Linked DNA regions of Drosophila melanogaster. The protein of the gene in region 2 interacts with the protein of the main gene of each other region in a pairwise test. Each region holds a gene or a part of one and is shown on either strand. Other genes may lie near its edges.

Region 1 (6,781 bases), on a different chromosome or scaffold from region 2:
TTCCAGCTTCCGTACAGTCAACCTTGGCCAGTTTGATTGGCGGATCATCGTCTTTCACGATCTCCGCCGCCTTGGCGTACTCGGGCTTCAATCGCTTGCAGTGGCCGCACCTTAAACAGGAAAAAACACTCTGTTAGGACACGTCACTTAAACATTATGTTGGTAACAATACTATCTAATTCATCATTTGTTATCAAGGCAACGGGAAGACAAGTTCCCAAAAAACTAGCTTGTAATTAAAGTAAGGGTGCTGGAATTATCAACTGTCTTATCACACAAGTACAAGTGCCCATTAGGCATACAGAGAGAAAAACGACTTGGTACTTATTTGAAACAGCAGAGTATAGTCTGCACTCTTAGCAGTGCAGATAATAATTCATTTTTGATAAAGATAAGTGATGCCTTAAGTTAACTATGTTATAATGAAAAGAGCAGTTTTATTGCAGTGTACAACTTTTTCAACTTCATCCCTGTGTATTTATGCTTGAATACTGATAAGGTTCGTCATGAGGGAATCAAGTCTCCATGCCAAGTAGTTCAACAGCTCTTTGGGGATTTCGAAAGCCGGCCGGCAAAAAAAACGCTAATAATTTACCTAGTTCATTGTCCAAGTGTGAGCTTATAGTTTACCCCTGATAATGGGCAAACAAATGGCTCAAAAGAGAGTAAATAGGCACAGTAAATATGTGTTATGTACTAAACAAAAATGTATTAAAAGGTTATTGTGTTCAGTGTGGATTACGATGGAAGTTAAAAATGTGTCTACTGACATGAGAAATTTATAGCACAATCAGCATAACTTTTGTGAGTAGGCAGGCAATTAAAATTGAAGTTTTAATATGGTTGGTGTAAACTGTTGGGAAATTACATTTGTATGAGAACTGTGAGTGTTTCAGACTATGATAACCAGTTTCAAGCTAAATCTAAGTTAACCCTTAGAATTACACATTCCTGGGATTATGGGTATAATGCATAGGCATAAGAAACTATAATAAAAGATGCGCTATGTACACTGGGGCCCCTATGCCTGCTCACTATCATTAGCCAGTGGACAAGTGGAGCAGGAATTGCACGGAAATTGTACCAACTAGGCACTTTGGCACCCCGCGCTCTAAAATGGCCGACGGCACCAATACTGGCATATCATCATTGCCCCTCTCTTTGCGTCTCGTTTCGTTCCGTCACTCGTTCCTTCTTTATTTGCCGGCAAAAGCAAGGCAAACGCTGACGTGTACTTTGCGCTTGCGATGGCCGGAAAATCGGGCATCGGTCGGCACTGGGCATTGGGAATCGAATTAAGTTGCGGACGCAACAAGCGGATTATACGCGAATCGCACACGCAATGCATTTGTTGTAGGATGGCGCCCGGCCACGCCCACTCACTAACTCACCAGGGGGCGTAGAACATGACCAGCGTCGTCTCGTGTTGTTTTAGGGTGGTGGCAAAGTCGTCGTCCCCCAGTTCCAGGACATCCTGCTCCGCTCCGGACGAGATGGCGATGAAGCCTAGTAGGAGCACTCCAGCAAGGCGCCACATCATTATTTGGGTTCACTTGAAGCGATATCGGTGAATAATTCAAGTTCAACTAGGCCGTCGAACGCCTACTTCTACAACAAAAACTGAGTACCGGACCGGTTCGGTATTTTTCAACGATTGAATTCGCTTTTTGCCTCTTTCGCCACGTCGCTTCTTATTCTGTTTCGTCGTAGTGTGGCCAGGTGGGGCTAGGCCGAAAATGTCTAAAGTTGGAAAAAGCTCTCAGTTGTGAGCTTTCCTGCATATGTAAACAATAAATAAAGATGGCTCATCATTTATTAATGACTAATGTCTATATGTGTGGGTTTTAAATGCTTTAGCTATAATTCTTTCCAGTCACACAGAAAAGTTGAGATCTAGATTTAAATTAATTTAATTGATACCGATTTATAATAAAATTTTGTCAAATTATCATTTCATAAAAGATGGTAATTGCATTTATTGTTAACTGATTTCGCAAGCATAACAATAATCATATTATTAATAACTAATTAATTAATTTCACAAAATTAGGAAAACACTTAGGAACTTTTAATTGCGTCCTATATAAGGGGCAGGCTAACAACTTTTGTTCTATGCACAATGAATAAATTTATTGAGTACAAGTGAAAACTGAGTGAAAAAATAGTCTAACAAAAAATATTAAGCAGTAAGTTACAAATTCAAATAAATATTAGCATTCTGATGAATTCCAGAAGAAAAAGTATTAAAACGTGAGATCTTAAGTTATAAATTTTTACAATATTGTATAAATTGATACAATACCAAATTACTTATAGTTTTATTTGTAGCATATTTTAGTTGTAGCAACGGACGCCAAAAAATGTATAAATAAATGAAACGTATTACATAAATTTAAACGATCTCAAGCTTCTATTGTTATTTAAAGTTCTATTACGTTAGGGTTCACATACAAATTAAAGTTCAGGTTCTAGTCTAAAAGTTCAAAATGCGGACTACTAATGCAATTGTTATAGTTTTTAAATATTAAGAGATATGTGTTCCAATATTACGTATAGAAATTATAGACATCGTTTTGTAGAAAATATTTTTGGAATCACTGATTATTTAGTTTTTCATATAAAAACAATGTCGAGCAAACAAGGTTTTTTAAATCCCTCAATCGTTAGGTTATTGTATTTTGCCACTTTCAATCACTTAAATTTCAATAAAATGAAGTGCTTCATTCGCGCGTAGTGGAAACACCGCAGTGAGAACACGGTTTCTGCTCTTTTGACAGTTGCGTAGCTTCGGTCACACCATGTGTCAAACGAGGCTTCCTGTGCTGAGCTCTGCCGAACGCTCGTTCACTTTGTTCGAATCCGTCGCCGCTTAGACTTCGTGATTTCTCATTCAGCTTATTCGAGAGTAAGTTTTACCTGCGAGGCTATAATTAAGTAATTTCTGCAACGGGACTGCAGCCAGAAAACAATTTATAAACAAATATGCAGCTGAGACGCCGAATTTGTGCATATTTCCAGTGTTTTTCCTGTGTGTGTGTAATAAACCCGGAGATAACCTCTAACTGCGGTTTTCCAAAGTGAAAGGTGGCCATAGAAGCAAACACGTGGCAAGTCTGCAAAGGCAAAAATTTTAACTGGCGTTCCCAGTTAAAGTTCCCAGCATTCTCAAAATAATTTTCCGGCTTTTCCGGCCGCATTTTCGCCCTGCAATATGGTGCACTTAGTGTGTAATTACTTTGCCACGCCCACGCCGGACACAGAGGTCATCCACCAGATGTGCTCATTAACCGAGAAAAAAAAACGTGCTTTCTCTCTTGCCTTTGTCATGACCTATAGATATTCCTTATTCTTTCTTTTTGCGGCATGGAATTCTAAAATGGCGACCCAGTGGCGTGAGTCAAGTGGGCGAAAAAAATTCGCCTGGCAACAAGCGAAAAAATGTGCTTTTTTGGGTTTCCAGCCCATTAGCATATCTGGTGAAATGGCACTCGCATCAGCTATTTCGCCATTTCCAACCGACTCCATAATTGGTTTTGGTAAAATGGCTGCCGCTGCACTACGTTCTTGAATAATTCGTTGTGTGCCCCTCTCTTTTTCATTTCTTTCCAATTACCAATTGTGCCACCGCGGCGAGATCGCTTGCATTTGTACAAGTCACACACGCACACTAATGCACATCCGCCATTTTGGTCTCTCTCTCTCTCTATTCCTCTCTTACTTTTCCTCCGGCCGGCAACAGCGTCACACAAATACACAGGCATAGATATACACACGCATAGGCAGATAAGCACATGTGTATTTGCGAATTAAATTTGCTGGAATTTTCCTTTGGACTCTTCGATTTAACATGATGATGATTTTTCAGTTCTGCTACTGAAGACAGTTGACGAAAGCAAAAATACCAAAATCACTGAAACAAAATCGAGTTTCCATATGGAATTTTATTTGCACGCTCTTTTCTGTAGTTGCGCCCCACTCGTTTTACCCACACCCTTACATGCGGGCACTGGACCTAACCTCAAAAAACACGTTTTGTACGGCTGCAAGAGTTTGAGGTTAGGTTGTGCTCGCGCATGCAAACAAAAGTCGAACGTACGCTAGGGAAATGAGAAAGTGTTATACCCACTAATAATTGTAGTTGTAATCCCACCGAATGCTAACGAATTGTTTTACCCTTTGTTTATTCCAACCTCTCTTGCTCGCCAACCCGCCGAACCCTGCAACCTTCCAATGTTCCAACGTTCCGTCAATCCAACACTCGAATACACACAACAGCCATAGTGTAATCATCCAACATGGGCAAGGAAAAGATTCACATTAACATTGTCGTGATCGGACACGTCGATTCCGGTAAGTCGACCACCACCGGACACTTGATCTACAAGTGCGGTGGTATCGACAAGCGTACCATCGAGAAGTTCGAGAAGGAGGCCCAGGAGATGGGAAAGGGATCCTTCAAGTACGCCTGGGTTTTGGATAAGTTGAAGGCTGAGCGCGAGCGTGGTATCACCATCGATATCGCCCTGTGGAAGTTCGAAACTGCCAAGTACTACGTGACCATCATTGATGCCCCCGGACACAGGGATTTCATCAAGAACATGATCACTGGTACCTCGCAGGCCGATTGCGCCGTGCTGATTGTCGCCGCCGGAACCGGAGAATTCGAGGCAGGTATCTCGAAGAACGGCCAGACCCGCGAGCACGCCCTGCTCGCCTTCACCCTGGGTGTGAAGCAGCTGATCGTTGGTGTGAACAAGATGGACTCCTCCGAGCCACCATACAGCGAGGCCCGTTATGAGGAAATCAAGAAGGAAGTGTCCTCTTACATCAAGAAGATCGGCTACAACCCAGCCGCCGTTGCCTTCGTGCCCATTTCCGGATGGCACGGCGACAACATGTTGGAACCCTCTACCAACATGCCCTGGTTCAAGGGATGGAAGGTGGAGCGCAAGGAGGGTAACGCTGACGGCAAGACCCTGATCGATGCCCTCGATGCCATCCTTCCCCCAGCCCGTCCCACCGACAAGGCCCTGCGTCTGCCCCTGCAGGATGTGTACAAAATTGGCGGTATTGGAACAGTACCCGTGGGTCGTGTGGAGACTGGTGTGCTGAAGCCCGGTACCGTTGTGGTCTTCGCCCCTGCTAACATCACCACTGAGGTCAAGTCCGTGGAGATGCACCACGAGGCCCTGCAGGAGGCCGTTCCCGGAGACAACGTTGGCTTCAACGTCAAGAACGTGTCCGTGAAGGAGCTGCGTCGTGGCTACGTTGCCGGTGACTCCAAGGCTAACCCCCCCAAGGGAGCCGCCGACTTCACCGCCCAGGTCATCGTGCTGAACCACCCCGGTCAGATTGCCAACGGCTACACCCCCGTGTTGGATTGCCACACCGCTCACATTGCTTGCAAGTTCGCTGAGATCAAGGAGAAGGTCGACCGTCGTTCCGGCAAGACCACCGAGGAGAACCCCAAGTTCATCAAGTCTGGCGATGCTGCCATCGTCAACCTGGTGCCCTCTAAGCCCCTGTGCGTGGAGGCCTTCCAGGAGTTCCCCCCTCTGGGTCGCTTCGCTGTGCGTGACATGAGGCAGACCGTGGCTGTCGGTGTCATTAAGGCTGTCAACTTCAAGGATGCCTCCGGTGGCAAGGTCACCAAGGCCGCCGAGAAGGCCACCAAGGGCAAGAAGTAGCTGGTTTGCTTCCACTCAACAACAACAACAACACGCAGTAGTAGCAGCAACAACAAGCATATAACCAACATCATAATGCAGCCAACAACACCACTCAATAATACCAGCAACAGCAGCAGCGAACACAATAGTAGTATAACACCAACACCTGTCCTGCGCAAGATGACCGATAAGATGATGTTTCAGCAGAAGCATAAGTTTAATTTCTTCCATCGAAAGGAGTTTCGACGGATACGAATGCTAAATGCAGACGAGGCCGCCTAAATTGGGAAACGGTGGATCCCAAGGATAAGAGTGCACACTGGGAAAACACTTGCATTTATGCATCCACTCCTCATCCACTTCCCCGTCGATCTTTAGTTTACTAAATATGGTATGATGCACGGAGTTGACTTCGTTTTATCATATCATATATAGGAATCCTCTGTAGCATTTATGATATCGTTTAAATTAACCTTTATACTTTGATATGTATCATTTATCTTACCCTACTTTTGCACACACTACTTTGTACACAAGAAAAGAACCAGAATAGAAGCGATAACTATATTTACAAAAAAAATAAAAACCCTATTTTTGTATTTCTTTTGTTTTTACCACCCAGCCCGTAAAAGAGCACTCTCTTTGCTTGTTGCCTCCCGATTTTCAGCGCCATGATCGATCGTCCCTAACTCCAAGTTCACTTATCGTCGATGCCACAAAGTACAAACAAGAGCTAGTCGAAGAGTACAACAATTGAATCTGACAACAAATACCTCAATCGTTTAAATAAAGCAAGCAATTGCATCTGAAGAATAATGAATATTTTTTATTGTATTTGAGGGGGGGGGGGGGGCTTTTATTTCTCATCGCAAATAGAGAAAAATGCATTGATTTATTTATTTAAATAATAACGAACGAAGTTGGAACAAGTGTTTTTTTATAATTTCTGTTTAAAGTTATGGGATATATTATTTCCTTCGTAAAATCTGTATAAAAACAAATTAAAAAATGTACTAGAAAATAAACTAAGATCGTAAAATACATATATGGATTTAAATATAACTATATTTACATTGGAGTAATTTGCACAAAAAGGTGAAACAGTGTGGGAA
Region 2 (5,036 bases):
CCCACTTTCTTTGCTCTCGCCCATTGTTGAATGCTGTGCATTTTGCATTTTAAATACAATATAAATTAAGTTGGCAGCTTCTGGCATTGAGAACAGTTTTCGGCAAAGCTGCTGAATGAATGAATGGCAGCCCTTTTATCAAGATTCTCAAGTTAATTTTGCTGAAGGATAAGAAGTTCGGGGAAAATGGGCGGGGAAATCGAGGAAAAACTGACATTGAAGACGAATTGTTCGCTCGGAATGAAGTGGAATTTTATTCCGGTGGGTGGAAAACTTTCCTTGACGATTGAATAAAACGCTGAACTGTTGGGAGAACTCAAAAGCACAATACTATTTTAAAATAGTATTACCAAAGATGTTGGATACCATAAATGAGTTAAGCACAAACTCCATTTGTTTATAAAAATATAATGTGCAAATATGATTTCCAATTTATTTATCCATAAATAATGAAAACATTTAAACATAATATTTGAATCTTATAAATTGTCTCTTTAAATATTAAGTTCGTAAATATATTTGAACGATCATTTACAAAATTAATTTTCTTCGTATAGTTTTGGAGTCACACAAAACATCGGCGAGAAATTTCTCGCATGCGATAAACAGTAAATATTGCACTGCTTGAAGCAGTGCTTCGCAAACTTGCGGCGCCTCTCAAACTGCTATTGTTGTGCTCTCTCCCTGAAAATTTTCTCTCTTTGAATTTTCCATTCTGTTTTTCATTTGCGGACCTGCGCTTTTCATTTGCCGGCATTTCTGGAGCAACAACAAAATTCCAGCGCTGAGTTTTCCCCCTGCCATGCCCCCCTTTTCGTATTTATATATTTAGCTCTCATTAAATATTTTCAACTAGAGCGAAAGATACTTCCGTTTCCTGTTTTATAAAAATAGTACTTGCCATATATAAATATACATATTTACTATGTATATAAATATTTGTAACTATATATGAGGTAAATACTTACTTGACTTAATATAACTAACTAGAAAATAATTCAAACTCCTTATCAAATTCAAAGTAAAATTTGGGAAAATCTACCATTTAGTTCTTCTATATATTATTATATATAAGATTATACTAAAAGTTCACTTTTCCGAGCGCTCACTGTAGGGTGTTTTTGTAGTGGGCCTAAAAATAGGAGACGCCACCACTCGTGAAAATTCTTGAAGAGCAGTTTGGGAAATTCCTTACCGAAAAGTTATATATGGCCGAAAAGAGATTTGCCTTGCGCCATTGTTTAGTGAATTGAATTTTGGTTCAGTGTGTATTTGTTTTTGGAAAAACAAGGTGAAATTGCTTTTGAAGTGCGGTTGCTTCTTGTTTTTCTTTCGCTTCCCTCGAAAAGATTTTCATTTGCCGATTGCCTCATTGGATTTTGAGGTATTAAAGTTTTCGAGAGGGGAATTAGTATCGCATTATTTGGATGTTTCTGGTGCGGAATGCAAATTGATTTTCAATAGTTTTTCGACATTTTCCAGCTCGCCAGAGGAGGCGGCTTTCCACCCAAATTGGCAATTATCATCGGGTGGCGGAATTTGTGGGTGCGAAATGCAAATCAATGGGCAAATCTAATTCAATTTGAGTTCCTATAATCAACTGCTGTGAATGTGAAATGAAAGGCAGACGAAGTTCACTCGTCACTTGATTCAACGTCGTTTATTAATTTGATTTATATGACTTAATGATTAACCAAATATTTATCATATTGAAAAAGATTGACCATTTCGATTAAAAACAAAGATACAACTATATTATCTTTGTAATAATATTTCGATGCTGTTTATATAGCCACGTGTAAATACGATATGTTATCAAGAAATTTATTAATAGATATAAAATCGAGTTTGGCGCCAAATTAAATTTTGAATTTCCAGCCGCTCTCTTCTCGAGTGTGACCGCGCTGCCGACAAATGCCGCGAAACGGTGCAAATTCGGCCTTATCGGCCGCTAAGCAGCTGGCCACACTGCGGCATATAAACAATTTTTTGTCACAATTTTTTTGAGAGCAGACGAACGCACATCGAACGCCAATTGGGGATCGTAAAGTCGGAAAAACAGCGTCGCGCTCGCTTCGAAATAGAAAAAAAACACAATAAACATTAGGTCAAAATCGCATTGGCAATCTTTTAAGTTTCGATTTGATTTAATTTCGCGGTGCAAAGCGAAAGAGAATTTTGAAACGTTTGATTTTTGTTGTTTCGCCGCTCTCTTCGTTGTTGTTCTTTTTGTTGTTTTTTCCGGCGCGTCGTTTGGCGTTTTTAGTGTATGCGTGCGTGTGTGTGCGTAACTACGTGCAGCTGTGTGCGTGCTTCAGTTTGATTTAAATAAATTATTAGTGAAAAGCAGCTGAGAAGAGTAAAGAATACGAAAAAGTGCAAGTAAACGCAATAAAAATATTGCACATTAAATAATCAACAAGTGTAAGTGCAAAGCAAGTGATGTGCAAAATGCAAGAGCAGAGAAAAGAAAATAAAAGCAGAGAAAATGCAGAAAGGAAAATTGTTGTAACTTTTTAACAGCCCAATATCGAATTTAAGTGGCTATTAAAAATCGAAGATCGAGGCAAAGTGCAAAAGGCAACAAAACTACGAAAGCGCCCAAAAGGAAAATCCGGTTTTACAACTTCTCTCTTCACACACTAAACACACACATACAAAACACTCACACTCACACCAGCGAACAATCGAATTCTCTCTGAGAAACTAAAACTAAAATTCCTTTGCTGGGTTTTAATGAATTTTCTATGGGAATTTCACCAGCTAACGAGCAGCTAAAAAAATAATAATCGTAGATAAACAAATAGTGTGAATGAAAAATCAGCTGCGACAGGTGATGCAAAACAAAATACGCAAGGTGCAAAGAAAAAAAATACTTTCATGTGAATTCGATCACAGTGAACGCTCAGTAAAGAAGGAAGCTATTATCTGATCATATCATTATATTATTTAATTTAGAAAACAACTTTTAAAAATTACTTTAGATAATTAACTCATATGCTCATATCATTTGAAGTGCTAGAAAGTTTAAATAAATAGTTATCCATTTTAAAGCTCCACTGTATCTCAAGTATTTAAAAAACCATCCAGAAAAGTGAAATCAATAACAAAAGAATTTGAAAAAAGCGGAAAGAGCGGTCATAAAAATAGTATAAACAGAAAATAACAATAAACCAGTCAAAAAAATAAGCAGTTACCTGTCTCACTCTCTCTTTCCTTAATTCAAACATTTGCGTAAACAATAACCGCTTTACAGTAATTTCGGGCACCTGCTTTTTGTTTACACAAATGCATAAATATGTTGAATATGAATAAATTAATTCATTCAGCGTGTACGGGGCACGCTGCCTCGCTAAATGGAATTTTCACACGAAAAGTGGGAAATATGTGAAGAAAATATAGCGCCAACTTGTGTTATCTTATCCGTAACACAATTTTAATGATGGTGCAATTGAAAAAAATAGCAGAGAAATGTGCTACAATTGCTTCCTTATCAAAAAAGGTATTACCTGCCGGAAAGAGATAGTGGTAGTAGTGATAGGCGGGGAAAGAAAGAGATGGGTGTACGGTGTAGGAAATTACATATTTCATTATTTCCTCGCCCGATTTTTCCGACCAAATATTTTTATCTACTTACAATGTTGTCTAGACAGATTCCTTCGCTTTTCTTCCGTTTTTTTGTTGTGCCACCCATTTGTATATGTATGTACATAGATGTGTATAGGAAAAGTCTGGTAGTGGTGTGTATACTGCGAGATTTCGCACCCTCTCCTAGGATTTTCCTCTGCCGCCGCCTTTACTGCTTTTTGTTGTGCTCCAGACTTCAGTTTACTCCACTTTGCGACGACTTTCGACCCCCCCCCACACCCACAGCAGTGGCAGGCCCTTTTGTGAAGCACCCCCCTTTGCAGCATCCAGCAACCCCCAAAACGCATTCTCTGCTCCCTTTTATTGCCTTTCCTTGTTGTTTTCGGACAGTGGTGCTTGCCTAATTGAAACTAAGGCTGTCATAAGAAAAGAAGTCAAGACAAAAACTACACTTAGTTTATTCTGGGATTACCCAGCTATTAAACACAAATTGAAATATTGTGTAATTATAAACAACAGGACATTTTTCGAGATTCCAAATTCTTTGTTTACTGTAGAGCATCAGCTGTTATAGTCAGCTGACTCAACCGAAATGCACAGTGTGACCATGCTGAGCAACTAAAATAAAAAATTTTTGGAATCCCCGTCAGTTTACCATGTAGTTTACTAAAAATTCCTTAGATAATTGCATACTGTGGTGTTTGGCTTTGTGGGCGCCGTTTGCGCGCAATTTTAAATTTATGCGAACGTTCTGTCACCCTCTCTTTCTCCCTTCATATGCCCATCTCTTTCCCTTCTCCGGGATAAAGAAGTTTTGCCGAAACAACAAAAACAGCGGAGGATGACGACTCTTGTCCACCGTTTTGTTTGTGTTTTTGTCCATTGGTTTTTGCTGTCTGCCGCTGTTTTGCTTTTGTTGCTGCCATTGTCGTTGCAACGTCGGAAAGAGACGGAGCTACTGGGGAGCGACAAAGAGGGGTGCTGCAGACAGAGATAGCGAATTCCCAGTGAATTGTGAATTGCGTTCCATTAGCAGCAACCCCGAACACTTGTGCTTGTGGACTGTGCTGCATGGGCACAGTGGAATGGGTTGTATGACAATTGGAGGTATTACTGTGCACAATCGCAATATTTTCCCAATTTAATATTAGCAGATTGGCATTTAAAAAGGAATTTTTCTGTAGCTTAAACAAACCATTTCTGCACCTGATAGCTAATCCACCCCTAATTGCCCACTGTGCATCCCACTGTGCGACAGCTGCTGGTCAAAAGAGCTGATTGTTGTTGGTTTTGCCATTGCTGCTGTTTCGGTTTTTGTTGCCTTTTCTGTTTGTTGCTGCCTCCGTACTTCCTCCATCTCTGCCCCCCTTTCCTTCGTTCATTGAAATTTTCTTGCGGCGTTCGACAAATTTGTTGTTTAAAGTCGCGTGTGCTGGAAGTTGTTATTG
Region 3 (4,934 bases), on a different chromosome or scaffold from region 2:
TTTATTATTTATCGATTCTCGACCCATTCACCCCGTCCCCTCATTCCAAGAACAATAATTAACAATGCTAAGAAACAAACTTTTTTGTATTGACGAGAATAAGTCTAACTCCTATAACTAAATATATAAGAATGTTTTTGCTCAAAGGCAATTTTAGTTGTAATTGATACGAACAGACATACAAACACACACACACGCTAACTGTTATACAAATGAAACGCACACGCTCAAGCCTAATACTGTTATACTGTGTACTTTATATAGCCATTATATACCTAAACCTATATACATATAGGATCGAAACGCTTGCAATTAACTGCTTACATAAGACATTTGAGTCGGGCCCTTGTTATACGGACGTATGCCAGTAGAACAGTGGCCGCGCCGAACCGATCTAGCATTTAACTATCTATATACAACAAATATGTGCGATATTTTTTATATGCAGCTAATTTAATGTGTTGTATTTTGACCCCACACCACCTTGTAACTACGTTTATACGCCTGCTTTTCGAAAATTGAGTAACGCTTATAGAATTTTCGATTCAATTCTTTATGCCTTTTAACAGTTGAACATATATAATCAGTATAGCAACATTTTCTACCCACTTGTAAATAAGTTTATAACTAATGCAGTTTTTGTTGCCTACTTATTCGGGAGTCGAAAGGTCTGTAATTACAAATAAAGCTTGTGTATAAACGTAGTTCGTAGATTCTCTTTTGATTTTAATCTTAAAACATTTTTTGTTAATAAAAGAGGAAATTAAAAAAAAACTTTTAAACTTTCTAGTGTCTTTATTGTGGAATTTTAATTTTGTGGCAATTTAAAGAATATTTTTATATCTTTAATTGAGCCAAACATTTCATAAATAAAATCTCAAATGAAATGTTAAGAAGCGAGTACAGTTGCGCGTGCACGGACATAAACTTATGGCCGGGACTGTATGGAAAGGTGGGGGTGTAAGGAAAGGACCCCGTTTACGAGGTCGTTGCTTGTTCGTGTGTTTCTGTATCTGGTGGCTCCTTTTTCCGCATTTCCTTTTAACAGGATGTACGCACAGATACGGAATTTGTCCCAGACCATGGTCGGGAAATCGATTCAGGCCAAACGCCAGGAATACGAACACCCAAGCATTTTCGCCTATACATATGTACATATATGCAACGATATGCATACACATACATGCTTGCAGTTTGTGGTCCTGCGCAGTGCTTTACGGATGTCCTTGTTTTTTTTTTTTTTTTTGCTAGGAATGAGGGCTTTTAATTTCATTAACAGTTACAGAGCTCTGTTAAGTCAGCTGTTCGCCGAGCGAAAGAGACGGAGCATACCAGATTCAAGGTCTACATAACTGTATCCTATGTACATACGTTCGGTATCTATACGAAAAACGGATGTGTATCCACGAACTTTACATGGTATACTTACAGGCGGACTTTGGGGGAAGGACTTCGTCACTAGATTCCGTTTCGTGAATATGACGTGCAGGCACGTACGCTGGCAGGGTCGTAGCCCCAAAGGGGGTTAAAAATAAAAATAAATATTATTTTTAATTACTTAAACAGCCAAAAGGGTTTATTTTTAATATTTGGGCGTAATATTAGGAGCAATATATTAAAAGCTATATATATTAATACGAAATAGTAGAATTACTATGCTCAAAATGATGCTAAATTTTAAAGAAAATTTAAAATTTCCTTAGCTTTATCATGGTTGAAGTCTTCGCTACAGTCTCAGCCACTTTGGCAACCCTGGTTGAAGTCCACTGAAAGGTTCGTGTCTCTGATATAAGCCAGTATTTCAGGTATTTTCTTGGTATTTCCCATTGCGGCAGCGAAGATTTTTTAGTACATTTCGCTTGGCCCCTGGGGTATATTCTCACATACCAGCCAAGGCCACACTCTATCAGCAAGCTGTGTGGCGTCCGGTCGCTTTTTCAGTCATTCGTTGCGTCGCTGCGATCTCATCGTTCGTTTTGTTCCTACACGTTTTTGGCGTCGTCGTACATTTACGTGTCCCGCTTACTCGCGCGCACCCTCTCTCTTTCACTCTGCGGCGCGCGTGCCTAAGTGTGGTGTGTGGTGTGTGTGCCTGTGTGCGTGCGTGTTGGCGAGCAGCGCGGCGCAGCACAATAGAAAAGAAGAAGAAGAAGAAGCTGAAGCTGAAGGAAAAAACATAAGTGAATTTTTTTCGGGTGGAAGCGCGGTGAAATATGCGTGCGTGCGCGCGTGTATATGTGCGTGTGTGCGAAAATCAATACGAAAACATGAATAACAAATGCTAAATAAGAAAAATAGCTACAACGCACAACCGAAAAGAAGCTGAAACAAGAAAAAAGAAAGCGAAAAAAAAGGAGAAAATAATAAATAATAGGAATTGGGAATCCAGCAGGAAGGAACAGTTAGCCATTCCAGTGAGCTAAAACAGCACAAACCCATTTCCAGATCCAGCCCATCCAGGGCTTCCAATTGACAGTTGCCAATTGACAGTTGACAGTTGCTAGTTGCCAGTTGACAGTTTCCAGAAACGCAGCAGGATGTCGCTGCAAACGAAAAGGCAGCACTGCTATCTGTGCGATTTACCCCGCATGCCCTGGGCGATGATCAATGACTTCTCGGAGGCGGTGTGCCGCGGTTGCGTCAACTATGAGGGCGCCGATCGCATCGAGGCGGTGCTGGACGCCGCCCGCCAAATGAAGCGTCTCCATCCCGCCAGCAAACAGCAGCGTTCCCATGAGAACGGCGAAGTGTCCGCCGCTGCAGCGGCCGCCGTCGTCCTACAGCAGCAACAACAGTTACAAGTCGGTCCAGTTCCGGGACAAGGACCGGGTTCCCATCGCGGCGGAGGTGGCGGCGGTCCACCGGGTGCTCCGCCCGGAAGTGGTGGTCCAGGTCCGTCGGGCGCCGGTTCGCTCAGTTCGCTGGGCAATGCCGTTGCTGCTGCCGCCGCCGCTGCTGCAGTGCATCATCACCATCAGATGCCCTATCAAATGCCAGTGCCACGCATCGGTCCGCCACTGGACTATCCCGTTAAGCTGGAGGATGCCCCCGGTGGCGGCGTACGACCCGTACGCATTTCACACATGACGCCCCACCACCTGCCGCCAAATGCGACCCGCGGCGGTGGCGGTGCACCCGGCGGCGGCGTACCCACCGCCGGCAGTGGCGGTGGCAGCCTACCGCCCGCCCTATCCGTGAATTTAAAGCGTCCGCCCAGCGAGGATGTCGATGTGGATGTAAGCCAGCAGCAACAGCAGTCGGGACACGGCCTGGCGCCAGATGGCAGTGCTGGCAACTCCCTATCCGCCGGCGGAGGCGTATCCGGCGGTTGTCCGCCCGGCATCAAGCGCAGCGCCATGGACGATCCAAGTGGCGTGGGCGGCAGACCGCCATTGACGCGTGGCGAATCCCTGCCAGCGGCGGTCAGCTATGTGCCCGAGCGTCAGCTTAGCGGACTCCGTGATAAGCAGCAGCCGGTCAGAGCGCCCAGTTTCGATGCATCGACCTTCAAAGCAGGTGAGCAAACATGACATAGATCATTCAAAATACTTGGCACAGTGGTTACCCAATAGAAAGAACTTTGCTGCAGCAAGTAATGGGAAAATTTTTCATTTGCAGTAGGGATTCGGGAAAAGCAGGAGTAGTTTCAACTACCTTGAAAACTACCTTTCATAATAATTAGAGTAAAGTGATCAGAGTCTCAAAAGTGCCGCGTTGATAAATATTTGGCTTTATAAATGATAGTACAAAACACTATCTATCGTGGTGGAAAACAGATTTGGGATAATCCCCTATCAGTGATGGATTTCTTATCACTTATAGCGATCGGATCGAATCGCCAGTGGGAAATACGCGATATGGATTAAAAAATGGAGTGACCAGGGGGATGTTGTTTCCCAGCCACAGTGAACACTTGATATCTTCTAAAGTATATTTTATCAAAATATTTCAAATACAAAACTCTTCGAGGGGTGATATTTCAGTTTGCTTTGATAGCCAATGTCAAACAAAAATAAAAACTTGTTTAAACAAACAAGTGAGTTAGAGGAAATTTTTTTTTGCTAATTTCAATCTAAGATTTGCTGGATAAAATTAAACACTATTTTATCCTCCGGAAACATAGGAAATTTGCTTAAATCCTAAGTTTGAAAAAGTTGGCGGCCACTGTATTTGTTTACCGTTTCTTACCAATCCCCCGCCTTTTTTTTTTTAATATGAGCCGTGATCGCGGGATACAGAGCACTGTTTCTGCCTCGCTCTAGCCTGGATGTGGGTGGAAGGTCGTGGTGGGGGAGTGGGAGGAAGAGAGGCGGCGATATAGTGGCACACATACCGCTTATTCAGGGCAGAGTGAAACGGCGTGATTGCCTGCTCCTTATCTCTCCTTACTGGAAGGCGAGCTAGAAGAAGACTGCGCTTCTCATGTATATGCACGTACACATTTACGTTTGCATGGATGATAAGGAGCGTTGTGTTGGAGATTAGATAACTCATTTGCTTATCAGCGCGTCCTTATCGCCACCCAATGCGTATGTATAACTCACACATACACGCATACGTGCACATGCATGCATGTACATTCAAACAGAAAAAGAAGCGTATAAACGCATTTTGCAACCCTCTGTGGAAAAAAGGGGCTGCTAACCCTTGCCATTAAAAGGCATGCGCACATGCCAATATACATATAGGGAATATACATGTGCATGTACCGCGCAGACACACACGCGCACACAACTACGTGTTCGTTTACATGCACGTACGTAACAGTCGCAATGGCAATAACAAAAAACGGCGAGAAAAAAAAGCGCAAAAAGCACACGAAAAAAGGGCCGCAGAATGTAATATAAACAGAGACGTGCAAAAATCGTCGACGCTGACGTTGTAATGTTCTCGCTCTCTATCTCTTTCTCCCTCCGTCTTCTGTCGCTTTTCTC

Evidence for each region. Proteins that work in one complex are often made in the same cells at the same time.
Region 1: the proteins of CG32264 (region 2) and eEF1alpha1 interact in a two-hybrid assay, tested with the Drosophila melanogaster proteins (one large-scale study listed by BioGRID).
Region 3: the proteins of CG32264 (region 2) and Pits interact in a two-hybrid assay, tested with the Drosophila melanogaster proteins (one large-scale study listed by BioGRID).

Annotation. Positions count from the first base shown.
Region 1 is NT_033778.4:11,889,280-11,896,060, forward strand, and holds eEF1alpha1 (eukaryotic translation elongation factor 1 alpha 1), read left to right. Parts: upstream 1-1,855; 5' UTR 1,856-1,965; intron 1,966-2,116; exon of another isoform or gene 2,117-2,186; intron 2,187-2,842; exon of another isoform or gene 2,843-2,905; intron 2,906-3,843; exon of another isoform or gene 3,844-3,916; intron 3,917-4,262; exon of another isoform or gene 4,263-4,275; 5' UTR 4,276-4,295; coding exon 4,296-5,687; 3' UTR 5,688-6,241; downstream 6,242-6,781. Other genes in the region: ERp60 (endoplasmic reticulum p60), read right to left, coding at 1-110, 1,392-1,540. UniProt on the Drosophila melanogaster protein: This protein promotes the GTP-dependent binding of aminoacyl-tRNA to the A-site of ribosomes during protein biosynthesis.
Region 2 is NT_037436.4:3,784,945-3,789,980, reverse strand, and holds the start of CG32264 (uncharacterized protein), read left to right. Parts: upstream 1-2,020; 5' UTR 2,021-2,424; intron 2,425-5,036.
Region 3 is NC_004354.4:12,580,154-12,585,087, reverse strand, and holds the start of Pits (protein interacting with Ttk69 and Sin3A), read left to right. Parts: upstream 1-1,894; 5' UTR 1,895-2,537; coding exon 2,538-3,516; intron 3,517-4,934.